Ovis aries: one gene and its partners. The protein of the gene in region 7 purifies or fractionates together with the protein of the main gene of each other region. This does not show direct contact. Links are inferred from orthologs where the notes say so. Each region holds a gene or a part of one and is shown on either strand. Other genes may lie near its edges. The genes, in order: ADISSP, RUVBL2, CDC5L, UXT, PDRG1, RASSF8 and PPP1CA.

The links.
Region 1: the proteins of PPP1CA (region 7) and ADISSP purify together in Homo sapiens (affinity purification with mass spectrometry; 4 studies listed by BioGRID and IntAct, counting the BioPlex papers as one, with this or other methods). This does not show direct contact. The link is inferred for Ovis aries from reciprocal best matches to the Homo sapiens genes PPP1CA and ADISSP.
Region 2: the proteins of PPP1CA (region 7) and RUVBL2 purify together in Homo sapiens (affinity purification with mass spectrometry; 4 studies listed by BioGRID and IntAct, with this or other methods). This does not show direct contact. The link is inferred for Ovis aries from reciprocal best matches to the Homo sapiens genes PPP1CA and RUVBL2.
Region 3: the proteins of PPP1CA (region 7) and CDC5L purify together in Homo sapiens (affinity purification with mass spectrometry; 3 studies listed by BioGRID and IntAct, with this or other methods). This does not show direct contact. The link is inferred for Ovis aries from reciprocal best matches to the Homo sapiens genes PPP1CA and CDC5L.
Region 4: the proteins of PPP1CA (region 7) and UXT purify together in Homo sapiens (affinity purification with mass spectrometry; 5 studies listed by BioGRID and IntAct, counting the BioPlex papers as one, with this or other methods). This does not show direct contact. The link is inferred for Ovis aries from reciprocal best matches to the Homo sapiens genes PPP1CA and UXT.
Region 5: the proteins of PPP1CA (region 7) and PDRG1 purify together in Homo sapiens (affinity purification with mass spectrometry; 4 studies listed by BioGRID and IntAct, counting the BioPlex papers as one, with this or other methods). This does not show direct contact. The link is inferred for Ovis aries from reciprocal best matches to the Homo sapiens genes PPP1CA and PDRG1.
Region 6: the proteins of PPP1CA (region 7) and RASSF8 purify together in Homo sapiens (affinity purification with mass spectrometry; 3 studies listed by BioGRID and IntAct, counting the BioPlex papers as one, with this or other methods). This does not show direct contact. The link is inferred for Ovis aries from reciprocal best matches to the Homo sapiens genes PPP1CA and RASSF8.

Annotation. Positions count from the first base shown.
Region 1 is NC_056066.1:51,162,602-51,166,189, reverse strand, and holds the end of ADISSP (adipose-secreted signaling protein), read right to left. Parts: intron 2,523-3,588; coding exon 2,384-2,522; intron 1,522-2,383; coding exon 1,399-1,521; intron 1,162-1,398; coding exon 1,061-1,161; 3' UTR 501-1,060; downstream 1-500. UniProt on the Homo sapiens protein: Adipocyte-secreted protein (adipokine) that acts as a key regulator for white adipose tissue (WAT) thermogenesis and glucose homeostasis at least in part through activation of protein kinase A (PKA).
Region 2 is NC_056067.1:55,305,493-55,308,992, reverse strand, and holds part of RUVBL2 (ruvB-like 2), read right to left. Parts: coding exon 3,369-3,500; intron 1,585-3,368; coding exon 1,455-1,584; intron 1,309-1,454; coding exon 1,242-1,308; intron 1-1,241. UniProt on the Homo sapiens protein: Possesses single-stranded DNA-stimulated ATPase and ATP-dependent DNA helicase (5' to 3') activity; hexamerization is thought to be critical for ATP hydrolysis and adjacent subunits in the ring-like structure contribute to the ATPase activity.
Region 3 is NC_056073.1:17,846,986-17,850,953, forward strand, and holds the start of CDC5L (cell division cycle 5-like protein), read left to right. Parts: upstream 1-1,168; 5' UTR 1,169-1,282; coding exon 1,283-1,327; intron 1,328-3,649; coding exon 3,650-3,753; intron 3,754-3,968.
Region 4 is NC_056080.1:57,168,961-57,172,913, reverse strand, and holds the start of UXT (protein UXT), read right to left. Parts: upstream 2,801-3,953; 5' UTR 2,734-2,800; intron 2,548-2,733; 5' UTR 2,539-2,547; coding exon 2,441-2,538; intron 1,452-2,440; coding exon 1,370-1,451; intron 1,237-1,369; coding exon 1,169-1,236; intron 903-1,168; coding exon 795-902; intron 135-794; exon of another isoform or gene 1-134. UniProt on the Homo sapiens protein: Involved in gene transcription regulation. Acts in concert with the corepressor URI1 to regulate androgen receptor AR-mediated transcription. Together with URI1, associates with chromatin to the NKX3-1 promoter region.
Region 5 is NC_056066.1:61,134,451-61,136,877, reverse strand, and holds part of PDRG1 (p53 and DNA damage-regulated protein 1), read left to right. Parts: intron 1-2,044; coding exon 2,045-2,226; 3' UTR 2,227-2,427. UniProt on the Homo sapiens protein: May play a role in chaperone-mediated protein folding.
Region 6 is NC_056056.1:189,611,432-189,615,623, forward strand, and holds the start of RASSF8 (ras association domain-containing protein 8), read right to left. Parts: upstream 2,801-4,192; 5' UTR 1-2,800.
Region 7 is NC_056074.1:41,699,855-41,703,898, forward strand, and holds the start of PPP1CA (serine/threonine-protein phosphatase PP1-alpha catalytic subunit), read right to left. Parts: upstream 2,801-4,044; 5' UTR 2,751-2,800; coding exon 2,696-2,750; intron 2,166-2,695; coding exon 2,034-2,165; intron 1,889-2,033; coding exon 1,658-1,888; intron 1,026-1,657; coding exon 921-1,025; intron 334-920; coding exon 110-333; intron 29-109; coding exon 1-28. Other genes in the region: TBC1D10C (carabin), read left to right, coding at 3,972-4,044. UniProt on the Homo sapiens protein: Protein phosphatase that associates with over 200 regulatory proteins to form highly specific holoenzymes which dephosphorylate hundreds of biological targets.

The DNA of each region.
Region 1 (3,588 bases), on a different chromosome or scaffold from region 7:
GGTAGGGAGGACAGAAAGAGCACTGGTCCCAGCTCTGTCATCAATTTAGTGTACCTGCCCTCCCATGACATGCAGCAGCCCCACCTGCCTGAGAACCCTAAGGTGACAATAAAACTCAAGGTGAAACCATACCCTTCTGGTACCTCACAGGGGAGACTCCAATAGTGGAGTAGTGGAAGGGTTAGGGTGGCTAGGTTCTACAAAGGGAGCTTTTCAGCTGTGCATGGGGCTGGGAACTGACTAGAAAGGAGTGCTGCTGCCTCTGGTCAAGCCTCCCAAACTGAACACCCATTCCACAAGACCTCTCTGACCTGGGTGGAAGACCCCTCCCTGTGCAGACTCTCATTTTGGCAGGCCTAAAACGCCACCACCCGCACATACCTTTTTTGGGGCTAGGTGCTGTAATACCACAAAAAGAGTAAGTAGCCAAAACTGTTCCTCGGCCCATCTGCAAGGACTGGGCATTCTCAGGGCCCTGGAGAACAAACACCCTGCTGGCCTCTGGTATCCACTGGAAGTTTTATTTCTTCAGGACTTTATCCCAACCAGTCATTTAAAAACAACACAGACCTAGGGGGTAGGGATTGGGAACTGCATCTCCCTCCTCACCGTGGACAGCAGTGGAAAAAACGGAGTAGACAAGAGAGGTGGCTAAAGCGAGACAGCAGCAGTAGTAACGGGCAGCTCCACCACAGAGCCAGCTCCCTCCTCCCCTAGGCTCTGACTGGAGCCCTTATGGCTGGGGTGGGGGTGGGTACAAGCCACCCCAGGCCTTCCCCTGGCCCTCCTCAGATAGCCTCCTTGGGGGCTCAATCCATTTCTTCCAGCAGGAGGCTGAGGCACACAGGAGAAAGTGGGAGAAGAGGACGTTGGAGGGGCAGGGAGGTGGCACATTAAATGAGGTGAGAGGCGTGGGCAAGGCTCTAGCGTAGAGGCCCATGGACCCTCCGCCTGCACACCCACCCTGGGGAAGGGGGAGGAAGCCGCACCGTCATGCAGCATCTGGAGGATGAGGCTGGGTTTAAGGCCGAGGGCCCTGAGGCAGGTGGCACCGAGGGCCTCAGTCGAAGCCGCGCCAGTCACTATGCTCGGAGTCGTATTCTAGCTCAGCACCCACGCACCTGACGCCGTCTAGCAGCATGGGTGTGCCGTGGTGTCGGTCTGCAAGACAGGCGACAAGTCAGTATGCCAGGGTGGACCCTGGCCCCACCTACTCCAAGGAGACTCCTCTACCTTCCCTCCCAGCTCTGCTAGAGGATGGGGAGAAAGGCACCCACCAAGGAGACTGGGAATGGGCCAAAACAAGGATCCCTTTTTCAGGCTCAAGGAGGGTGGAAACTCCTTGTAGCCAAGCTGGTGCCTCCCTCCTCTAGCCAGACCTAGGCCTCAAGCTCTCACCCATGACGCGTGCCTGCACCATCACGCGCACGCAGGTGTCGGGGCCACCTTCACAGGCTAGCAGCATCTCCTCCTTGAGGACGCCCTCCTTGTGCGCTGAGTACTCACACTTGACGCTGTAACCTGCCCGGGGCGATCAGCACCTCTGTGGCCTCCTGCCCCCCAGCACTCACTGGTTCCCCACCCACCACCAAGACCTCTAGAGGAGCAAGGATGGCCCAAACTCCCCTCCACCCCTGCCCCCAGGGCTGGGTACACAGGCCTCTGGAACTTGCCATTCTTCAATGAGCTCTACATGTAGGCCAGAAGTCAAACTCAGGCTTGCAAGAGGTGGGATTCCCCAAAAACACAGGCAGGGAGAGAGGGTGATGGGGGAGGGAGGGAGGAGCAGAGCAGGGACTGAGCAGATCAGGTGGCAAGAGGCAAAGACCTGAGGAGGCTTGCTCAACCCACTTAAGGGCAAAGTCATGAAGTGGAGGTAGGGGAGACATGAAACTGAAGCTGGGGTTTCTGTAAATGGTGAAACTGATTCGCTAGCCTTTGGGAGGAGGGGTGCTGAAGGTGGCAGGGTATGGAAAAGCAACTTCAGGTCTGGTGGGGGCTGGGAGGCAGCTGCCCAAAGTTCCTGAGGTTCCAGTAGGTTTCCCCTGGCAAAGCAAGGGCTAGAGGCCCAGAGCAGTTCCTCAGAGGGCTCCCACCATCCCCCTGAAGTAACCATCAGGCGGTGAGCAGACATAGGTCAGTTGTGAACAGACATAGGTCAGTTGTATGAGCCCGTGGACTTCTGTCCAGGAGTGAGGGCTGGGGCATGGGACCTGCCAAGTTGCCACACAGCAGGCCTATAAAGAGGCATCATGTCTCCTGGTTTCTGAGCCACCCATCAGCCCTTGATAGGGGGAAGGAAGTACCCATGCTGTCACTCCTACTCACACCCAGGCTCTACTAGAGGAGGGCAAGCTTCCAGCACCCCAAGCAGGGGACGCACCTTCTGGGATGGGCATGACGCTGAGGAGCTTGAGGTGCAGGCTGGGGACAGGTGTCTCTCGGACGTCCTTGCTCAGCCTGTGCACTGGGGGTAGAGTGAAGGTAATCTCATACCTGTGCAGGATCTTCAGGAAGCCAACCTGCAGCAGGAGGGGTAGGGGATGGAGGCACCTTCACTTACAGTCTCCCCCAGGGTCCGCCCGGGTTGTACCACTGGTGATCCTGTGGGCCCTCCACTTGCGTCCTTGACAATCCCAGGGGATTCTGACTCCCTCCATCATTCTAGCTGGTTCACACCCCTGGCCTGGCAGCTCCAGGCCCTTTCCTCAAGGACCCCACCCCTATCACTTGTCCCATATCTGTCTCATGGGCCCTGAAGTTCCTTGGTGGCCCATTCTATAGATGATTAAATAGAAGCCAGGAAATGACTGGCTGAAGGCCACAGTGTGGTTGAGCTATAGTCCTCCCTGTACCTCTTGGCTACTTCTGCCACACAGCAAGGCACCAGCCACTGCCCACAGGGAAGGCTCAAAACCCCACTACACAGGCTATCCACTTGCCCCCACCACTATCAGCATGTGCCCAGGGACACTGGTCCTCTGGTCACTCATGGTGGGGCCACCAGGCAACATAGATAGCACAAGATGCAGGGTGGGTCAGAATCATAAAAACAGACTCTAGACGAGCTTTGTCCAGGGCTCGCCCACAAGACTGGCACCAGTCATGGAACCTGGAATCCAGCCTGCCCTGCTGGGACATGAACATGGATGCCTGTCCATTCAAAGGCTCACTGTGTCCAACAGCCCTGATTCACAGCCTGGGAAACTTCTGTTGTTCATACACACAGCTTTGCCATCCTCAGAAACTCAGTCATGTGACGGGTCACAGGCCAGGGTAGCTATTGGGCAGGTAGGCTGACTGGAGTGCCAGTCCAGGAAGGGCAATGTGGGTGCCGTATCCACAGCTCACAGGGCATACGCTCTCCTGCTTAGTTTCAGGAAATGGATGGCCCTGTCCTTTGAGGCAGCATTTAGCCTTTCAGTAGGATCAGGATGATGTCACTGTGTGATAAAGCTCAGTCCCTATGGCTCCAACACTCTGCTAAAAGAGGGCACACCTCTCAAGAGGGCTTTCTGGCTGTACTTGCTAATCACTGGCTGTACCCTGTGATCCAGCTGCACCACTTGCAGTATTTCCCTGGAGAAA
Region 2 (3,500 bases), on a different chromosome or scaffold from region 7:
TATTCACTTTAAGTCTATTTCCACTGAAAATGAGAAGCTAATGAAAAAAGAGGAGGGTGTTCCTGCAAGACACAGAAACAGAAGGTAGGACTGTGCATCAGGTCAATGGATTTGAAGCAATTTTAGACTTCCTTTTATTTTGCATTTTATTAACACCTGTAACTTAATATTTAACAGAGAACTACAAACACTGCTGAACCTCGAAGACATACACAAAAAGTCATATATTCTTAGATTCCATCAGAGGCAAGTCCATTAAGACAGGAAGTAGATTTGTGGTTGCCAGGGACTGCAGGTGGCGTGGGAGGGGAGGAGGAGCAACTCTGAAAGGGTTGATGGTTAGTTTATGTTGTGTGATTTTATGTCAGTGAAAAACAGACCTACAGAAAAACTGAAAGAGAGAGAAAGAGATGAAGGGGAAACCAGACTATGACAGAAGACTTAAAAGACATATAAGTTTTTAAAATGGGCAGTCTTGGAATACACAGTTGGGTGATAAAAGCTAATGAAACTCCAACGGGTGAGGGCGGCTATTTCTATGGGGTACTGTGGAAAGAGGCAGAGGAAGGGGCAGGGTTGGAGGTGCTGGCTAAGTTTTAGGGTTTTTTTAAATCTTTTTTTAAAGTTTTTTTTTTTTGGATGTGGACCATTTCTTAAAGTCCTTATTGAATTTGTTATAATATTGCTTCTGCTTTGCCTTGGTTTTATGGCTGAGAGGCGCGTAGGATCTTAGCTCCCTGACCAGGAATTGAATCTGTGGTGGAATTGCGGAGTCCTAACCACTGGACCACCAGGAAGTCCTGTTAATTCTTACTGTTAGTACTGTTAGTACAGTTGAGGTACTAAGATTTATAAATCCAACGGGTCTGTAAGCCTAACTATTAGGAATTAACTGTGAGAAACTTCAAGACCTCCTCCGTCATTCCATTGCTTGGTTTGTTTTTTGGGGCAAGTATAGTTGATTTACAATATTGCGTTAATTTCTGCTGTACAGCAAAGTGATCCAGTTAGACATAAATATGTTCTTTTCCATATCCTTTTCCATTGTTCCACCACTTAGCTCACTGTGCCCCTCACAAACGGACAAACCGCCATCAATTCAACCGACCCTCTCTTGCCGGCATATGGATGACTCTAAGCTGCATCTCGAACTTTCCATGGGATTCTGACCTCAGTGCAGACCCAGCACACCCTACCCACCCCCAGCCCTTGGGGTAGCCTAGACTTGGGAGCACACTCACCGTCCCTGTGGCCGGCCGATCAATCTGGATCTCCACCACCTCCCCTTCGATGATCTCGGTCTCCTCCCTGGCGAGAGAACAGATCTAAGGAGATAGCTCGCGGCCTGGGCCCTCAGGAACTGCTCACCCCTGTGGGCCCCTGGGCACAGGACGAGCTGGCATCCCTCAGGTGGCGTCCCAAGGCTGCTGGGAGCTACCATTACTCCTGCTTACTTGATGCGCACGCCGATGGAGCGCCGGAAGGCCTGGGTCAGTGCCTCTGTCTTGCTCATCTCCAAGGAGAAGATCTCACTGCCTGCGATGGCTGTGAATGGGGTGTCGGGCCCCAAGGCCTGCGCCATGCCTGAGGAAGAGGGGAGGCAGTTTGGGTAGGTGGTCCAGGCACGAGGTCCTCACATCTCCCTAACCAGCTCTTCTTCTTCAGACAGGAAAAAGGGGCTCGGTGCTGTGGGGCAGACAGGGAGACTTGCAGAAAGTGAGTGATGGCGGGCCATGTTGGGAGGCCCTGGGTTGGAACCCCACACTGCCCAGACCAAAAACTTTATGACTCTACAGTCATGCTGGACCTGCCTCCCAACCTCTGAGAGCTGTTTAGCCTCAGGGCTTGGGGGGGATGAGCAGGGGTGGAGGCAAGGGGCTGAAAGAGGTTAAAAGAGACTGTGCAGGTTCGAATCCCGGCTTCAATGCTTAGCACCAAGTTATCTTAAGAAGCCTAAGCTGCTCCCCAAGCCAGCCTGCCCCTCTGGGTAATGGGAACCATAACATAACAAGCGCTGGCAGGGAACGACATTGCTGCATAGGAGCAATGATAAGGGCGGGCAGGCATGCCCTGGTGCTCAGCCGGGACCCCGATATGTGACCTGGGACCAGCACAGGGAAGGGCCTCCTCTATGGTCTGGGGCCTGGGGTCAGCTGGCAGACAGTGGGCAGTTCCTGCCATCACTCCAAGCTCCGGGCCTCTCTGCCAGCTCCCCTTCCTGGGGGCTCTGCCCAGCTCTGAGCCAAGTCTCCCAGACAGGAAGTCACTGAACCCTCCTGACCAGTGCGAGGTGGCAACTCTTCCTGGTCCCCTTTCCAGAGGCATGCCACACTCTGCACCTGGGTATCATGTTCCGTACTGTCTGTTCAGGAGACTCCCAGACTTCCTGCGAGTCTCAGTTCCAGTACTGACTCACCTGGGATGTCCCTCCTGACAACTGCCACCCCATTCTCTCCCCATCACCCTTCATCGGAGGAGAAGCCTCCTCTGTTCTCTACATGGACGGGACTGTGTCCACTAACACCTGCCCCAGGCTGGAAGCCCCTTAAAGTCAGGACTTTGGTCTTAATCATCTTGGTGTCCCCAAATATGAGTGTTACTTTTTCTTAACTGAGGACCTAGCTGTTGCCTTGAGTCTCACTGCCTGGCCCCACAGTCCAGGCACAAAGGTGAGAGTGAGTGGGAAGAGACTCCAGGAAACCTTCAACAAGGAAAAGATGTCAGAGAGCAGTTTTGAAGGACAGATAAGAGCTCAACAAGGATAAGGGACAGTTGTGAGTAAAAAGCTTTTAAATTACTAATGAATTGCAAAAGAGACTGCTGATTGTCTATACAATGCTCATCTTTCACATCTTCCTTTGTTCCAGAACGCCCATTTCAGTAAGGTAACAGTAGTCCCAATTAAAATATAAAAAAAAGTTTTAATGCCTCTCTCTCTCTTGTGCAGTAGAGTGTGGTCATTAACTTCTAGTCAATAAAATATAAGCAAGAGAATGTGGGTGCCCTGAGACAGCTGCTTAAAAGGAGCTCCCTCTAGGAGGTACACCCTCATTACAATTCCTTTCTCCTTCTTCTTATATGGAGTATGGGTGGGATGGCTGGAGCATAGGCCACCTTTTTGTAACCCAAGGTGTCCCTGACATGGAAGCAAGTGATCTCGAGGCAAGAAGGTAGGAGCCCTCATAGAACTGCTTAACAAGCCTGAATTGGCCTATGTTTAGACTCTTCTATGTGACAGAAGAAAGCCTTAGTGTTTAAGCCACTTCCATTCTGTGCTGTCTGTTAGACATGGCTGAACCTGACCCTGACTTACATGGGAGGATCATCCGGTGAGGCCAAAAGAGCTACTGCCTGGAGAAGCACCTTACCCATGGCAATGGCTGTCTTCCCAGTGCCTGGCTGGCCAGCAATGAGAACCGCCCGGCCAGCAATCTTCCCTTCTCGGATCATCTCCAGCACCACACCGGCTGCCCTCCGGGCCGCCAGCTGGCCCACCATGC
Region 3 (3,968 bases), on a different chromosome or scaffold from region 7:
CTGCTATTAATATTAAGCCATGTAGACTGAAGTGCAATAAATGGAAAACTCTGACATGACTGTTTCTGGGACAATCTCTGATCACTTGAGCTTGCGCTTCTCGTAGTAACAGTTGCCATTTTTGTGAGCACTTCTTAGGTATCAGATACTACGATGGATTTACGATCTCATTTAACCCTTGTTAGTTGCTCAGTCCGGAGAAGGCAATGGTACCCCACTCCAGTACTCTTGCCTGGAAAATCCCATGGATGGAGGAGCGTGGTGGGCTGCAGTCCATGGGGTCGCTAAGAGTCGTACACCACTGAGCGACTTCATTTTCACTTTTCACCTTCATGCACTGGAGAAGGAAATGGCAACTCACTCCAGTATTCTTGCCTGGAGAATCCCAGTGACGGGGGAGCCTGGCGGGCTGCCGTCTATGGGGTCGCACAGAGTCGGACACGACTGAAGCGACTTAGCAGTAGCAGCAGCAATTGCTCAGTCGTCTGCCACTCTGAGACCCCATGGACTATACCCCGCCAGGCTCCTCTGTCTACGGAATTCTCCAGGCAAGAATACTGGAGTGGGTGGCCATTTCCTTCTCCAGAGGATCTTTTCCATTCAGAGATCGAAGCCGGGTTTCCCGAATTGCAGGCAGATTCTTTTACCACCTGAGCCTCCAGGGAAACCCCTATTCAATCCTTAGGAAAACCCTATGAAGTTGGCACTATTATTGTCTCTATTTTGCAGGTTAGGAAATTTAGGCTTAAATAAGCTATTGCCTCTCCCTGAATATTTTTTGAATAAATTCTTGTTCGTTAAATGCTTAATAAAGTGCTAAGTTAATAAATTATCAACGCTATTTTTAGACCAGCCGAGGTTAAACCCTACAGGAGTGACGTTCCTATTCTTTGCCACAACGTGACGTCACGACCAATCCCAGGACTACATTCCCAGCCAAGAGCCTCCGCCGACATCTCGCGAAAGCCGCGGTTTCTTCCAACCTATTTTGGGCATGCGCGCGGCTTCGAGTACCTTGGCTAGAGTGGTTTGATGATTTTCCGTCAGTCTCCCTAGAGTAGAGTTTTACCATCGAGGCACTTATTTCCTTCCAGTCACTCCAGTTCTCGCGAGACTTGCTACTCCTGCTCTTTCCCCACCCCGCCCCCGCGCTTGCGCAGAGCTCTTCAAAGCAGAAGGTCGCGCTTGGAGGAAGTGGCGGCTTTGGGTCCCGTGGCCGCCGCGCCGTTACTACTTCTCGGAAGCTCCGCTCGGCCGCTTGCCGAGACACCCCGCCGCCAAGATGCCTCGAATTATGATTAAGGGGGGCGTGTGGAGGAATACCGAGGTAAGTCCCCTTTTCCCGCCGTCTGCCCTCCGCCCCTCCGGCTGCGGGTGCGCACGCGCGCAGAGGTCCGGGAGGTGGAGAGGATGCCTTCGGGGTCTGCGTGGGGGGTGGTGCGGGGCCTTTACCCTGTGCCTGGACCTCAGTTATCTGAGCATCTCAAGGACAGGGACCGTGATTTAACCGCTTGATTACCTGCGGGGCACTCGTTAGGCCCTCAGTGAACATTTGTTGAGCTGACGCGTCCTCCGCCGTGGTGGAACTCACAGTAGGAGGGGGACACAGGACAATTGCGATAGTCGGTCTTCTAAGCCCCGCCCCCCGCACCCCACCGTTCCTCATCCCAGGCTCCGCGACTCTTTGCTGTTGAAAAATGAAGAGGTGCTGTGGCCACAACTTTGTTCTTTCCTTGAGTTCCTTGCTGAGGGGAAGCAGTTTGAGTGCCAGGTCCTAAGTACCTGGTTGTGTCCGCGTCCCCGCGGTCATGTTACCACGGCGTAACTTGTCCGCCCTCCGGTCACCCAAGGCCTGTCTCTTCCGCTTCATGTTGGGTAGAAGCCAGATAGGCCTACCATAGTCTCTTTGCTTCCAGAAATGTAGTGGATCGTGCCATTGGTGAACCAAAGAACAGTAGAAGAGTAAAATAGAAACAAGGTTTTAGTGCAGTTTCTGTTTATAGTGCCCTGAACTTGTCAGTTTCCCCAGAACACTCTGTCTTTTTACATCTTGCACCTTCTTGAAATATCCTCCTACTGCTTGGCATCTTTCTGACCTTCCTTCAAAAACAGTTCAGAAACTCTTCTGAAATTGGTCCAGAAGACCCATCCATTTGCCTGGTCATCCGGTAAAAAGTATTTGCACCTGCAATGGTCCCTGGACACCTCTTCTCATCCATTTGTTATGGTTTGCTTTTTTTTTTTTTTTGCAAGCATCACATCCTGTTTGATGCTGGGATTATTAACCTCTCAGAGACTCAGGTTTCTAATGGGGATGATAATAATATACTTATCTCTCGGAATTAAATGAGTCACTGCATTTGGAATATTTAGAACAGAGTCTGGCACATAGTAATCTTTCAGAAAGTACTACCTGCTGTTTCTTTTCCCCAGTAGACAGCACTGCAAGTGCGCAGGATCAGATCTTGCTATCTTTAGAACTCCGGACAGTGCCAAACAAAGTTTGCTTGGGAAATTTTGCTGAATGGATCTAGTAGGGTGTATAACTGTAGTATATACTTAGTTGAAGATGTGATTAAGTATAGCAGTACTGCAACAAAGTTACAAATTAAGTCAGTGAGAACCTTGCCTCTCAGCTTGCACAGAGGGGACCAGGCTGTTTCAGTTGGAGAAGAGATGACTTCTGAGGGAGAGACAGATGTACCAAATCAAGTAACAGCAGGATTCTGATGCTGTGGCCAAAGCCCTGCAGTCCTTGAGTCTCAGATGTTAGGGGTGTGGAGTGGCGAGGAGTGGCTAACATATGAGGCATATAGCTCAAGTTCATTGTGGGGAAAAAACCCTAAAAGTAAAATGCCCTGAGTGCATTCATCTATGGCTCTGATATCCCTGGTGTCTTTGGTTTAGCCTGACAGGCTCCCTTGGGATTGGTGAATTCTTTATTGGAATGGGTGCCCTGGTGAAATAGTATCTAGAGACTGGGGGGAAATTAGAGGCAGAGTTGATTGGTGACTTAGGGGAGACGTACTCAATTCTTAGGTTAGACCTGAGATATGGATTCTTAGGTGAGAGTGGGGGCTGTGGGACTGGAGAGAAAATGCTGTTCATAAACTGGGAAGCCTCAATTGGAAATTGGATTCACTTGAGTCTTGACTTTTTGAGGGCTGGATGTGTCCTGTTTTATCTTGTTTTCTCAAGTATTGATATACAAGACCTGATACAAGGCTGGTGTTTGGGCAGTATTTTTTGTGAATCAGTAAATCAATGAGCCATAATCTTTTTAAGAGACTAACAACCACACATTGGAGAATTCTTTTTAAAATCTCTGTCAAGTGGGGTTTCTCACATTGGGCTGTACCCACTCAATTTTTGGATGGGATTGGGGGAGGGGTTGTGTGTAAGGGAGGGTAGGATATCCTTCTAAGGGAGTTCTTAATTTCTTTCATTTTGTTGATTCTGGGTTGCTGTTTTTTTTTAAATTTTTATTATTGTAATGAAGTTTTATACTTTTGTTTTAAATTTAGGATATACGTGCGTGTTTATATCTCTTTCTCCCTAGTACAACCCAGTTAGAGTTAATTTAAATCTTGTCTTTTCTCACTTGGAGTTTTGTGAATGAATACATTGTTTTTCCTTTGAAAAAATTTAGGATGAAATTCTGAAAGCAGCGGTGATGAAATATGGGAAAAACCAGTGGTCTAGGATTGCCTCACTGCTGCATAGAAAGTCAGCAAAGCAGTGCAAAGCCAGATGGTATGTATCAGCTAATGAGTGGAAAACACAAAATGACCTTCATTATGATGAGGAAAATGTCATTTCTTTGAACCTTACCAAAGAAAAGCAGGCACTGTGATGTAACAGAAAGTAGGGAGTGGGAGTTGGGAATTTCAGTGTGAGAATTAGCTGTCTTTTGCTTCGTAAGTGGTCTTAGGCAAGCCATTTTCTGTCCCCTCTCTCCTGCCATTGTT
Region 4 (3,953 bases), on a different chromosome or scaffold from region 7:
TGACTTGAGACGTAGACAAAATCTCTCCCTTTGCAAAGCTTATATCCTAATGGGAGCAGGCAATGAACATTATAAAAAAGTAAATCACACAGTAAACATTAGGAGGTCATAAGTGCTACAGAAAAAAAGAAAAAGTAGAACAAGGGAGGGGAATCAGGAGCGCAAGGGTTGCAATTTTCAAGTTAGGTTATAGGAAGTGACATTTAAGCAAGACTTCAAGTGAATAAGGAAAAAGGAAGCCATGCATATATCGGGGGGAAAGTGCTGTAGGCAGACAGAGAACAGTTACTGCAGTTGTGCTGAGGTGGGATCACTTTGTGGGCATTTAAAGAAGCCTGTGAAGGTTAATGTGATGAGAGCACAGTGAATGAGCAGGAAAATTAGCAGAAGGTGAAGTCAGAGGTAACTTGTTTTACTGTTACTGATTTACAGGCTGAGACCTCCAGGATCTGGTCAAAACTGTGCTGATGTGTAATAGTTATAGCCCTTGTAGAATGTAAGCTTTCAAGGAATTCTTCTGTCTTGTTCATACTGCCTCCCCAACACCAAGCACAGAGCCTGGCATACAGCAAATGCCCAATAAGTTTTTGTGTGAGTGAACAATACAGAGACCATTTATTGAGTACTTATTATGTGCTACACCTGGGGCTAAGCTTTGCATCCCCACTGTTCTCTCCCCTAGAGAGAGGGGAAAGTGGTTCCTAGGTACCATCCCAGGTAGCCAGGGTGAAAGGGGGAAGAAGGATGTTACAAATGGTGTTGTTTTAGACAGTATCCTCATGCAATGGACTTACTCTGTGAGGAGATTGCTCTTACGATCAATGAACTTGAGAGCTTCTGCCAGTGTCAACTCCAGGAAAAAACCATATCCAAGGGCCACATAGATCCGTGAAGTGTCTGGGCTAAGGAAACAGTGGTGATCAGAAGTGGAGAAGTCCTTGTCACTGTTTAGCATACTACACAGTTTAATATTTATTTTACTCCCCATCCTCCACCTTCCCCAAACTGAAGGTCAGGGTGGGCAGATAATTTGTCCTATTTTATTTACTGTCACATCTTCAGCACCGAGCAGTGTCTGGTTCATAGCAAATACTAACAAAAGTATTTGCTGAATGAAGGAAAAGGGAAGCTGAACCCTGTGGGCTCAGAGGGGCAGGTAGATACTCACACCACTGTGTCAACGAAGAAGTTACAGCCCAAATCCACTTGCATATATAACTCCGAGTGATTAGCTTCCTGTGGGGCCAGGGAAAAAGAGGTAGGGATCAGTGGTCAACTTTTAGGTCAGGTGACAGGTTTTGGTCTTGGGTATCTCCTCTCTTCCCCCTCCTTTGCCCACAAAAAGACTACCTAACCCTGGCATCTTTACCTGGAGTCGCTCAATGACATTTCTCAGTTGAAGGTATTTGGCCAGCTGCTCATATACCTTGTCGCGATGGTCCAGGACCTTTCTGATGGGACATGACAGGACAAGAGTAAAATGGTGACCAAGAGGAAACCCTGTCCCTCTTGGAATATCTCACACCATGAACCCCTGAGACTCTCCTGTCACCAGAGTCTAAACAGGAATTTTAGTGCAGAAGTCAAGGTTTGGCCTCTGGGTCAGATTGCTTCGGTTTGAATCCAGGCTTTCCATTTTACTAGCTGTGTGACTTTGGCAAGTGAGTAATCTCTTTGGAACTCAATTTCCCCATTTTAAAAATAGGAATGAGGAGTATTACTTCATAGAGTCATTAGGAGGATTAAATGAGTATTTACTATAAGGCATTTAGAATAGTGCCCTCCAAACAAATTTCTCTATATGAGTTAGCTCTTATTTACAAGTATTATTACACTCTACTCCCAATGCCTCCCTCCAATCAGAATATGACATTCTCACCCTAGAAAAAAATCCTCCATCTCTTTTAGGAGCTCATAATCCTAGACCTGAACACTCTCCTTCCTGCTCTGATTAATAATGATAGTAATAATAATTTTTTATACTCATTGAGCCTCTAGTATCCAAGTTAAACCCTTTACAAGGACTGAATACACTGAAAACACAAACCCACTGCCGTGGGGAAGGCTGCATTAACTTCCCCATTTCACAGATGAGGAAACTGAGGCACAGCAAGTGGAGGCGAAGTATGTATTCACACGGAAAGCAAAATGGTCAAGCCAGGATTCGAACCTGAAAACTCCAGCTTCAGAACTCTAATTCTTAACCCTTTAAGGTCATCGGAAGCCGCGCATGCGCGTACACAGGCACCATTAAATCACCAAGTCTCCCTCCTCACCCGACGCTGCACCCCGGATATCGCCCCTCCTTCCTCCTCGAATGGCGCACGGGGCCGGGCTCTGAACGCCTCACCCACCAATCAGAAGGCCAGGCCCTGACTTCGAACGCCCCGCTCACCACGTGGACCGCTCCAATAGCTCCGCCCCCCGTTCTGTCACTTACTGCAAGTCCCGCTGCAGCACGTCAGAGATGAAAGCCTCGTAGCGCAGCACTTTCTCCGCCGTGGCCTCCACCGCCCGCCGTTTAGGGGGCGTCGCCATGATGGGCTCCTGAGGAATGGGGAGGGAGAAAGACCACGTTGAAGACCACTGGTCTCAGTTTGGTCTCAAGCACAGTGCAACTGCACCTTTTCAGTGTTGGGAGTTGAGTCGTCCGGCTTATGCCGAGGGTTCAGCCTTCCGCCCCTCCCAGCTCTGGGACCCCATCACACAGGGACACCCAAGCGCTGCCGTTACCTGAAAGCCGCCGGCAAAAAGAAGTGTTAGTAAGAACCGTGGCTTCCGGGTGGCGCGGGTAAATGACGTACGGCGGGGGCGCTGGCCAACCAAATAACCAGGGTGGGTGAGGCAGTCCTGAACGGAAAAAAACGCCGGAGAGAAGGAAAGGGCGGGGCTTTAAGAAATCCGCTGATTAAGAAAGGCTGAAGAGCGTGGGAACCTGGACTGCGCAACAAGCCTATGGGGATAGTGCACTGTTGCTGGGGGTGGGGTTTAATGGGATTTGGCGGGTGCCGGAGGTGGCGGTACACACAGAGCGAGTACAGCTTTTGGTGTTTAAAAGTCAGAGCTTCAGAAGCAGCCGGGCAAGAAAAGATTATGAATGTGGTCTGTAAAAAGGAAAGTATATCCTTGCATCGCCCTGGATTTTGAGTTTTCACAAGGGAAGCTTGGGTTTGACTTTCAATAATGGAAATAAATGTCAGCATTAAACATAAGTTTTGAAAAGGAGACAAATTTTCTGATATGCACCTTTGACGACTCCAGCTCTGTAGCCCGCAGTCCATGACTGGAGTTCAAGCAGAGGTTGATAACGCACTATGTCTAATCAGTTCAGTTCAGTTCAGTCACTCAGTTGTGTCCGACTCTGTGACCCCATGAACTGCAGTACGCCAGGTCTCCCTGTCCATCACCAACTCCCGGAGTTCACTCAAACTCATGTCCATCGAGTCGGTGATGCCATCCAGACATCTCATCCTCTGTCGTCCCCTTCTTCTCCTGCCTTCAATCCCTCCCAGCATCAGAGTCTTTTCCAATGAGTCAACTCTTCTCATGAGGTGGCCAAAGTATTGGAGTTTCAGCTTTAGCATCAGTCCTTTCAAAGAACACCCAGGGCTGATCTCCTTTAATGGACTAGTTGAATCTCCTTGCAGTCCAAGGGACTCTCAAGAGTCTTCTCCAACACCACAGTTCAAAAGCATCAATTCTTCTGCACTCAGCTTTCCTCACAGTCCAACTCTCACATCCATACATGACCGCTGGAAAAACCATAGCCTTGACTAGACGGACCTTTGTTGGCAGAGTAATGTCTCTGCTTTTGAATGTGCTATCTAGGTTGGTCATAACTTTCCCTCCAAGGAGTAAGCAAAGCATCTTTTAATTTCATGGCTGATCACGTCATTTAATTGGGGCGTCAAATAGAGGGTTGCTGAAGTCCTCTGCCCAAGATAGGTTATCTT
Region 5 (2,427 bases), on a different chromosome or scaffold from region 7:
CTGTGTGCATTTTAATCTTTGCTGTGCCACTGAGTTGTTTCTTAATCTCTGAAAGGGGATATGTCTACATAGCACAGTTGTTGTAAAGTTCAGATAAAATAATATTTACCTAGCATAGTGCTTGTTTGTCATTGAGGAATGAGTTGGATTGCAAATAACAGAAATCTAGCAGTTAGGACTTAAGGAAATACAGTTCTGTTCATCCCATGTAAGAAGTTTTCCAGAGATGGGCAGTCCAGGACTGGCACAGCTGCTTAGCAGAGTCAGTGTATTCTCTTGGTTGTTGTGTCATGATTGCAGGCCTTGTGTCTGAGAGCCAGGCTAGAGGAAAGGTAGGAGGGCTTTCTCCATATATGGCCTTGCCTTCTGGTTTGGAAATAAGACCGTACTCCTTAGGGACTTCTGCTGATACCTCATTGGTCTAAGGCACGTGCTCATATTTTCACATCCCCTGTAGTAGCATCAGGGTTGAAGATAGAGGTTTAAGGAGGGTGAAGCTCTCGAGTTTGCCACACTAAGTAAGGTACACAACGGATCTCACAACCATGATCCTAGAGGCTCTTTGGAGAAAAGTCATGAAAGCAAACGGTCAGGCTGCAGATGGGTCCTTGGCTGGGATAAGGGCAGGTTACGCATGTTTTCTCTTCCTCACCCCTGAAAACGTGGGCCAAGAGAACCAGCAGCACGGTTGCCTCTGCCGCTGAAAACAGGGTAACTCTATCCCTGTTGAAACTGAAATTCTATCAAAGGAAAGTAAGTCAGCTTTGAGGATAAACTTCTGTGGAAAAACATCCACTAGAGACTTCCTTGTGGTCCAGTGGTTGAGGGTCTACATTCCAGTGCAGGGGACTCGGGTTTGGTCCCTGGTGGGGACCTAGGGTCCCACATGCCAAAGGACAGCTAAACTTACGCATTGCAGCTAAGACCTGACGCAGTTAAATAAATAAACATTTTAAAAAAAAAAAGAAAAGAAAGTGGAACATACACTATCATCATGGTTATAGAATTGAATTGTCACTGCACTTGCAGAGGGGCTGGAGGCTGCTCAGAGTAAGCTTCCAGAGGGCCTCGCCTGCCTGGGCTGAGGGTCAGGGCCCCGGCTCTCTTGGCCCACGAGTGTGGTCTTGTCACTGACCTAGAGGGGTTCCAGTGCAGCATGTCTGTTTCCCAGGGATGGATACAGGCTAAACAAAGGTCATGCGAGATGGTGGTTACTCATTTACAATGAGAACCAGAGCGACTGCCCAGGCCAGAATGCTTAGCTGGTCCTGGGTTACCACCATCAAAAAGAATGAAGGTCTGTAGGAAAGGCAAAAATGTCACTCACGAGTGGGTGAAAACAGCAGATGGAATTGGTTGGGTGTCGTCAGTTGGGTGCACTTCTCACGCTGCATCTGCCTTTGGGCACAGTCCATTCTGTAAGACAGCCTTCTCTCCCCTGCCATCAATTGGTTGGGTGTCATCAGTTGGGTGCACTTCTCATGCTGCATCTGCCTTTGGGCACAGTCCATTCTGTAAGACAGCCTTCTCTCTGCTGCCATGACCTTGGTTAAGAGTGAGCATGAGACAGAATGCTGACTGTTCAGCTCACAGTTCCCACAGTCCTGCTGTTGCAAAAACTCCTCACCTGGATGGATGTGGGTTTGTAAACTTCATCAACCACCTATTTTCCATCCATCTTCGAAGAGCCTGGGTCTGTTTATTCTTAAATCTGAATTTTCCATAATTTCATTGTGAAAGGGTGACTTAAAATCCTGGTATTGCCTTCCGCATCCACTGCCCAGGGTACTTTGCATAATGGAAACAGGTTGATAAACTGCAAGTTGGGAAAAAGTGTGCTCAACCCTGTTCTGGGCTCACTCAGTGGTCGGGGTAGGCCATGTCCCTTCTTTAGCCTTTAGTTTCTTCGTCAGCTGGTCTCCCAAGTCCCATTTTCATCCCCACATGCTCCGACCCCTGCCTTCAGTGGGGCTGGGCAGAGGCTGGTATCCTTGGGTCTGTCTGTAGTGTAACCTCGTCTTGTTTGCCTGTCTCTTTTTTTCAGATCAGGAACATCTGGATAAAGAAATAGAAAGACTCCGGAAACAACTTAAAGTGAAGGTCAATCGCCTCTTTGAGGCCCAAGGTATTGGCCTGGGGACTAAGCTTGGGGCCGGAAACAAGGGGGGGAGACAGTATGAGCACAGACTTTGCAGGCTGGGGTGGGCAGCTGGTAAGTGGCACTAAAGCTGTGGGAAGTGGGCAGGGTTGTCCTGAGCCGACCAGAGATGGAACGGACAGGAAGTTTGTGGGATCTTATTCCCGTTACAAGTTTTTTTCAGGCATAAGAATGGCATGGAGTGTCTCACATTTTATGCCAACGTGTGACTGTGGGGGCCAAGATACCTCTGACTAAGGGTCAGAAGGCCTCAGTCAGGTGGTCCAGGT
Region 6 (4,192 bases), on a different chromosome or scaffold from region 7:
AGAACCTGCCTCCCTTGTTTTGCTGGAATAGTCATCCTTCTTTTATGGAGGTCCTGAAACAGGGATGAGTGATAACAGTATGGGGTGTGATTATTGTTGAACCTGGGCTCCAGCTCTTACCAAGCAGAAGAACCTTAATCTTGTTTCTGTTGATCACCAGGAGGGTGCTGACCTTGGTTTTATCATTTGTCCAGAGGTGAACAAGTTGACTGACTCATGACAACCACCTTTCATACGACCAGCATGTAAATCAAGATGAAATTTATTATGATTGAGTAACTGTGTCCACTGTTTAAGAGAAGCACTTGCTAGGATCCAGGAACCTGTTGAGGTGTCCTCATGCCCATGTGTTGTCCTCTTGGTGGCTACAGATGCCAGTGAACTTACCATTGTCCAGCCTGGATAAACCGAGACAAGTCTTTTCCCTACCTTAGCCCCATGTGGTTAATTCATTCTTTGTTCAGCATATAGTATAATTTGTTTTGAGCTTTCTTAGCTGTAAATCACATCCCTGTTAAGCCTTCCTGAGATCACACCAAATGTCCTTGGCAGGATTTGTAAACAACCTTTATTTCTGGTCTCTAATTATATTCCCTGAAAGTAACCTAACTTGAATAAGTGAGTATTCATGCACTTAAAGCCCTGTGACACAGTCAGATTTTATATGCAAGAGAAGAATCTGAGAGGGTGGATTCAGAAAAGAGGAGAATCCCAAGGGAGAGAGACATATGTCTCCTCTTTCCTGAATCAGTGTGAATGAACTAGTCAAAAGCACCTAGAGTTATGTTGTATGTTTTATTAGTTTCCTGCTGCTAACTGTAAACAAGTTACTGCAAACTTAGAGGCTATAAGAATGTGTTATTGCAGCACCAGAGATCAGAAATCCCAAAATCAAAATGTGGGCTGTTGTTTGTCTTGGAGGCTCTAGGGGAAAATCCACTTATTTGCCTCTTCTAGTTTCTCCATCTCTTGGCTTATGGTCTCTTTCTGCATCTTCAAGGCCACAGAATGGAATCTTCAAATCTCTCTTTTATGACTTCTGCTTCATGGTTAGGAAGACACCTCTTTTTCTGGGGTAGGCAAAGAAAGTAGAAATTGATGAAGATACATTTCTAGCCATATATGTCATGAACTGAATTATTTGCAGAAAGAAAAGATACTGTCTTCATTACTAGTGAAATTGTTATCTGAATAGCTTTTTTGACTGTGTGATTGCTGAAATGATGCCTCATTAGTCCAATAAAACCTCTTTCCTTTTGGTGACCTATATACCTGAAACCCAAGGTGTTAACACACTAAGTTCACATGTGCAGTTCATGGAAATAAATTCCTTTCTCTGGAAATCCCTGGCAACTCTTTTTGTTGTGTCTATGGAATCATATGGCTAAGCTGGAGAAATATGTATCTAGGCCAGCATTTCCCAAACTGGTCCACCAGAACACCACCTTGGAAGATGGGATGCTGGGAAGATAGTTGTACTGTGCTCAGATAAGGCCCATGAAACACAGTCGTGTCTATGGCTTAGGCCAGAAGAAGCTTGTCAGTGGGTCAGATCCATTAAGAGCCACGTGTGTTGGGAGGAAGTCCCAAGAGAGAAACAAACATTTTTGTCTCGAAGAAGGTATGTGTGCTGGAAGGAGTGAATTGTGGATTTTAACTTAGACATCCCATTATTTTCTAACTCCACTGTTTTTCCTTCTTTCCCCCTCCTTCATCACACTCTGTGTTTTACCCAGAGTACTTTAATCTCAACCAGTGGCTCAGGACCACTCCTAGGTTCTCTTACCATGTGACCCTGAAATTGCTCCCCAACCTCGCTCCCCCATCCCCTTCGTACAGCCAGGGGCTATCTTGTATTTGTCTGTGTATCCCCCGTGCATGACACAGGCCTGGCTCAGACTGGGAGCTCAATTAATATGAGTTGAAATAACAGTGAAATTAATGAATGACAGTATAAATGCAGTAAACTCATGTCACCTGCTCATGTTATATTTGCCTTGGATCATCTTTCTAATGCATAACGAGCAGAGAGTTCCATTTCCTTAAATAATAAACATAGCAGAAACATAATAAATATGGTATTGTGCTAGGTTCTGAGCTTAACGCAAATTGACATGACATAATCTCAGCCTTCTGTGAGCTCACAGTCCATCTGAGAAAAGTGGTGCTAAAGAGGAAAAAAAAAAAGTGAAGTTGCTCAGTCGTGTCCAACTCTTTGGAACCCCATGGACTGTGGCCTACCAGGCTCCTCCATCCATGGGATTCTCCAGGCAAGAGTACTGGAGTGGGTTGCCATTGCCTTCTCCAGGGGATCTTCCCAACCCAGGGATCGAACCCAGGTTTCCCGCATTGTAGGCAGACGCTTTACCATCTGAGCTGCCAGGGAAGCCCAAAAGAGGAAAAAAGGCAAATAATGCTAGTTGCCTATCCCATTCTGTTTCTCCACTTCTTTCTTAGAAATAGAAACCTGATTTTGTGCTCAATGAGAAGTTCTCTCTCACAGCCTTCCTTGCAGATAGCGGCTACTAAGTTTTGGCCCTGTGCACGGAAGGTGTTGTATGGGCCTTCCAGGAAAACTCATTTGTGTGTCCTCATTTATGAGCATGGCTGACTCAAGCACTATTCTTGCCTAAAACACAGATGTAATAGCTGGAGTTACAACTCCAGTCTTGTGACATCAAGGCCACCTAGAAGCCTGAGGTCATCTACTAAAATTTGTACAAATAGGATCATTTAGAGTTTTTCAGAAACTTACCAAGCCTGCATTTAGTCACTGTTACAAGTTTAGAAGGAAAAAAAAATAAAATCTCTCTTCAGTATGTGTGTAGAAAGCAATTAAATATGTTTTTTTTTATCCTTCCTAATGAAAATCTTGTACACATACTGAAACACAGCAAAGATCTATAATTATTGTGATTTACTTGACCAACATAAAGGGCCTTTTTAGAAACAACCAACAATTCTCAGATCTATAAGAATTTTTAATTTAATGATAGTTTCTTGTTTAAAAAAATAATAAAACATTTAGATACCAAATCATAAACAGCTCCTTAAAAGACCCTCTAATAACATGATGGGGCAGGAGGATGACGATCAATATGTTTTATTAAACAGTGAAAAGCAGTATGAAAAGAAAAAGCATAAACTATAAAAGGAAATTATAACAGGGTATATCAAAAGGAATAAATGCAAATATATTTAGAAATAGGATTTAAAATGTGATTGGCTTCTTATTTAGGTAGAAGTTTTTGAGAGGCTAATACCATGAAAGTTTTCTTATTTTTTTAATTATAGGCTAGAAGAGTAGATTTAGTCAGCTGAGACTAGCTCAGCAAGAGCCTGTACTGGGATTAGAATATTGGGGAAAAACAGTGAATGCAGTGCTTGATGTTATGAAGTTGTACCTTTGTAAATATATGCAGTAAAATCTGAACTGTCTGACATTCTTTCAGCCTGAAAGCCACTCACCAACTCCCTCCATGTTTCCAGTGCTATAATTGGGGTTTATAATGATGATCCCATATGACTCTGAATTATAGCAGCAAGATTAAATTATCTTCTGCTTTGCCTTCATGTATTCAATTATATATTTTTATTAATTGCAAACTGGAAATCTGATCTGTTTATAACACTGCTGGTTTAACCAGAGCCTCCTTATCAAGGACCCAGTCATGGACAATAATACAGTTTATAGTTCCTGGAAAGGAAACAGCCCCACAACGAATTTAAAATGTGAGATTTATATGATCATAGTAAGAATAATTAGTATAAAATAATTTAGAATCATTCAGCAACATTTGAAAGAACTGTAACATATATTGAGTAATAATAAATGCTGCACATCCAATTCTTTTAACAAGTATAATAATTCATATTCTGTAAGAAGAGAGAAATTAGAGTATGAACAAAGTAAATCTTCATTTCAAATTTGGTAGAAGGTGGACTGTTAATGTTAGCAGAAGGGCAGATATTAGGTATAGGGCCAGGAATAGGGAGCAGCAGAGGATGAGATGGTTGGATGGCATCACCGACTCAATGGCCATGAATTTGAGCAAACTCTGGGAGATAATGGAGGACAGAGGAGCCTGGCATGCCGCACTCCATGGGGTGGCAAAGAGTCAGACACGACTTAGTAACTGACCATCGACAACTGGAATATTATACACTGAGTGGGATTATATGTCCCCATTTG
Region 7 (4,044 bases):
CAAAGAACTCGTAGCCGTCTTCTACTACCTGGACGAGGGTGGAGGCGGTTAGTTCAGCAGGAGCTGGCTGCCAGCCCTGCTCTAACCCAGATGGGGGCTGCCAGCCCACCTGGTGTGCCCGGCAGATGAGGTCCAGGTCATGCTTGTGCAGGAACTTGGCCACCACCTCAGCTCCAAAGGTAAAGGAGACGCCGCGGTCATTCTCGCCCCAGCCCTGCACGTCCTTGTCAGGGTCAGACCACAGCAGGTCACAGAGCAGGCCCTGGTCAGGCACATCTGTGGGCCGCATGATGCGCCGGATCTGCTCCATGGACTGTAGGTCTGGGGACAGGCCTGGAGGGCACAGGGGGCAGGTCACCTCCTCCAGGCAGCCTTTGCCAATCAGCCTCTGCCCCCCACCTCTCCAGGATTCCTGGGAGCCTACAAAGGCAGAACTCATCACCTTCTGCCTCTTCCAAGTCCCTGTCCCTTCAAGGAGCACAGAGCTCCCTGGAGAAAGTGTTTTCGCTCAGTCGTGTCCGACTCTTTGCAACCCCATGGACTGTCCAGGCAAGAAAGCTGGAGCGAGTAGCCATTCCTTTCTTCAGGGGATCGTCCCAACCCAGGGATCAAACCTGGGTCTCCCGCATTGCAGGCAGATTCTTTACCATCTGAGCCACTAGGGAAGCCCTGGAGAAAGGGGACAAGCAAACTCCATGCAAGAAGGCGAGGCCATGACACAACAGTGGGTGCAGCCTAATGCTGCAGTGCGGGGGCACGTCATGGAAGAAGTACTACCCATACCAGGACTCCAGGGAGAGCTGTTCCTGGCGACTGGGAACACATCTTCCAGCCGACGCTTCTGTCCCAAGGTCCCCAGGGGTGCTCACCCTGGGAGGCTCATCCTGCTCAAGAATTCACATGCCCAGAGCTGTGCTCACCTCCATGGCAACAGAAGATCTTCTCGTCCACGATGGCAGCGATGGGCAGGCAGTTGAAGCAATCAGTGAAGGTCTTCCACAGTTTGATGTTGTAGCGTCTCTTGCCTGCCCAGGGGGAAGGAGACAGCTCACCAGAGGGCCTCTGCTCCACCCTCAGCCCAGGTCTCCAGGCCTTCCAGGACACATTGTGTGTTGTTCAGACACAGCTAGGAGGAGAGAATGGAAGGCAAAAAAGGAAACCGAACCCCCGCCCCCTACCCCTACTACCCCACTGCCTCCCAGACAGAATTCTAAAGCAGCCAAGTCCACGGGAACCCCAGAGTTCCACTTCTGGCACGACCTCAAGGTTGGCATCCACCCCCAGCACAAGAGCAGGGCCAGGTCGAGACAGGGTCTGGTTCATCTTGGCTTCTGTCTAACAGAGTCCAGTCCCAACAGGCATCCTAAGTGCTTAAGTATCGGATGCGCTGGAGGGGAGTGTCAGCAGGTGAGGCCCTGCCTTAGAATCCTGGCAGCCCTTCAGCCAGCAGCCACTGGCTAGGTCCCTCCTGAGTGCCAGGATCTGCTCTAGGAGGGTCGGGGAGGGTGGCATGGGCTGGTGCTACCTTCACGGCACTCAGCTTAGCAGGTGTTTGTCAGACGCTGACACCCCAGCCACCAGGTCAACACGAGGGTCGCACTGAATGGCAAGGAGAGCCCTTTAGGACCAGGGCAGCCCAGATGCTCTGCCCACTCACACTCATCATAGAAGCCGTAGATGCGGTTGATACTGGCACACTCGTGGTTCCCACGGAGCAGGAAGAAGTTCTCCGGGTACTTGATCTTATAGGCCAGCAGCAGGCAGATGGTCTCCAAAGACTGCTTGCCCCTGTCCACGTAGTCCCCCAGGAACAGGTAGTTACTTTCTGGAGGGAAGCCGCCGTACTCAAACAGCCGCAGAAGGTCATAGTACTGGCCGTGAATGTCACCTGTGACCCAGGGAACCAGGTCAGCACTAGGGCAGCCTAAACGTGAACCCAGGGTCAGGGTTGGGCCCAAGGGAGGAGAAACTTGGGAGGGGTGGGGGGCAAGGCCGCTTTCAGGAGGCCACGGGGACCTGGGCTGGGGGCTCACCGCAGATCTTGAGGGGTGCCTCCAGCTCCAGAAGAATGGGCTGGCTCAGGAAAATCTCCCGGGATTTGAGGCACAGACCACGGATCTCGTTCTCCGTCAGCTGTACATTCTTTCCAGGCCTGGAGCCCTGCACTGGGGGCGGAAAGAGGCGTCAGGACCCTGGTTCCTCAGGCAAGAAGAGGGTGAATGTCACTGGTGGCCCCAAAGGCACTTCTGGGTAGGGGCTCCTGGGCCTCCCGGCCCCGCCTTGCCCAGGGGCAGCTGTTGCTGCTGAGCCTCCTGGGACCCCCAACTGCCCTCAAGGCGCTCGCGAGGGGACTGCTGTGCGCAGAGGCCATCCAAAACCTCAGCACAGGACCCCTTCCTGGGGGACTAGGCTTCTCAGGTTTCTCCCTCAGCCAAGAGCCCAGGCCAATCCTTGCGCGCCCACCCCCGCCACCGCCAACCCCGGTTCTGCTCTGGCAAGGGGAGCAACCCCAGACCTCCCAGCGCGCCACGACTGGGGTGGGGTGGGGGCACGATGTGGCCACGGGACCTCGCGGCCCGTCCCCGCCCAGTCAAAGCTGGCCCTGGGAGGGGCAGGTCCACCCGCGCGCCACTTCCGGGCCGGGCAGGGGACCAGGGCGCGGCGGGCGCCCACCTCCCTCGCCTCCCCGGCCAACCTTCCAGCAGGCGTCCGATTATAGAGTCCAGGTTGAGCTTCTCGCTGTCGGACATGGCGGCGCCGCCGCTCTGGCCCAGCACCTCCGGGCCCTATCCTGCCTCCCGCCCTCCCGCGGCCTCCTTCCGGCCTGGTGCTCCTTCCGCCCGCCCGGGCCCGCCCCGGCCCGCCGCCCCGCCTCCTCTGCCGGCAGCCCCGCCCCGCCGCACCCGGCCCCGCCCCGGCCCGCCCGGTCGCCCGCCGCCCCTGCGCTCTAGCGCCTCCACTGGACGCCAGGCCCGGGGCCCGCGGCGGCTCGGGAGGCGGGGCTCGGGCTGACCTGGTTGCGGGGGCGGAGCCTACACTGGGGGCGGGGCTTCACGGGGCGAGGTCGACTCTAGTTCCGCCCTTGAGGAGTTACCCACCCTTGCACCGAGGATGTGCGGCCGGAAGTAGTGTGGAGTTGTTTTTCTCTTTCAAGGGCCCAATAGTCCTTCCCATTTCTGTCCCGGGCTAGAAGGTGGTGTGACCTCATTGATATCTCATTGGGTCTCCCCAGAGAGTGCAGATTAAATCCACGAAGTGCAGGAAAGGAAACAGGTTCAAAGATAGCAAGGGTTGGCTTCAGACTGACGGAGGAGCTCTCACCTCTAGGGTCCCTGTGGCCTGCGGGCGGCTGACCATACCCAGACACCTGTCGCTGAACGCCGAGCTCATTTTGGTCCCCCTGCCCGTGGCGCATGCTACACCATTACTACTATTTTTTAATGTCTCGTCGTTGTGTTTTGAGTAGCGCAGTAATGACTTACTGTTTGACTTGTCGAAAGCGTTAACAAAAGAAGTCACGTTAAATAAAGTGTAATACTCACTGGAACCCTGAATTGAGTGTTTTATTTGCCTGTGACCTCACATCTGGAGGCAGCGTGGCCTCTCTACCTCTGGCAGGCCCTGGCTGCATCACACCCAGCACAAGAACCCAGGCCTGCACCCACCTAGCCCACCGGGGTGGTGGGAGGAGCCCATGGCCCAGGGCTACTGGGGCAGGCCGGAAGAGCCCTGGAGAGGAAGGGGTAACCCCCCCCACCACGCACTTGGGAGGGGCCCTCAGCGGGTTGCTGAAGCTGTGGCTGAGGAGGAAGTGAGAGGAGGAGGTGAGGTGCAGCAGGGAGGTAAGCTGGGCCCCTTGGGACAGGGGCTGGGCCTGGGTCTCCGGTAGGGGGCCTGGCCTTTCTGCCCCTCTGGGCCTGTGCCCCACCCCCACCCCACAAGAGGAGAGGGTACCAGAGGGGTATGGTGCGATGCCCTGCAACCTGTCCTCTTTGACCAGGCGGGCAGGTCCTGGGGCTGAGGCCTGGCTGCAGAGGCGCCCCG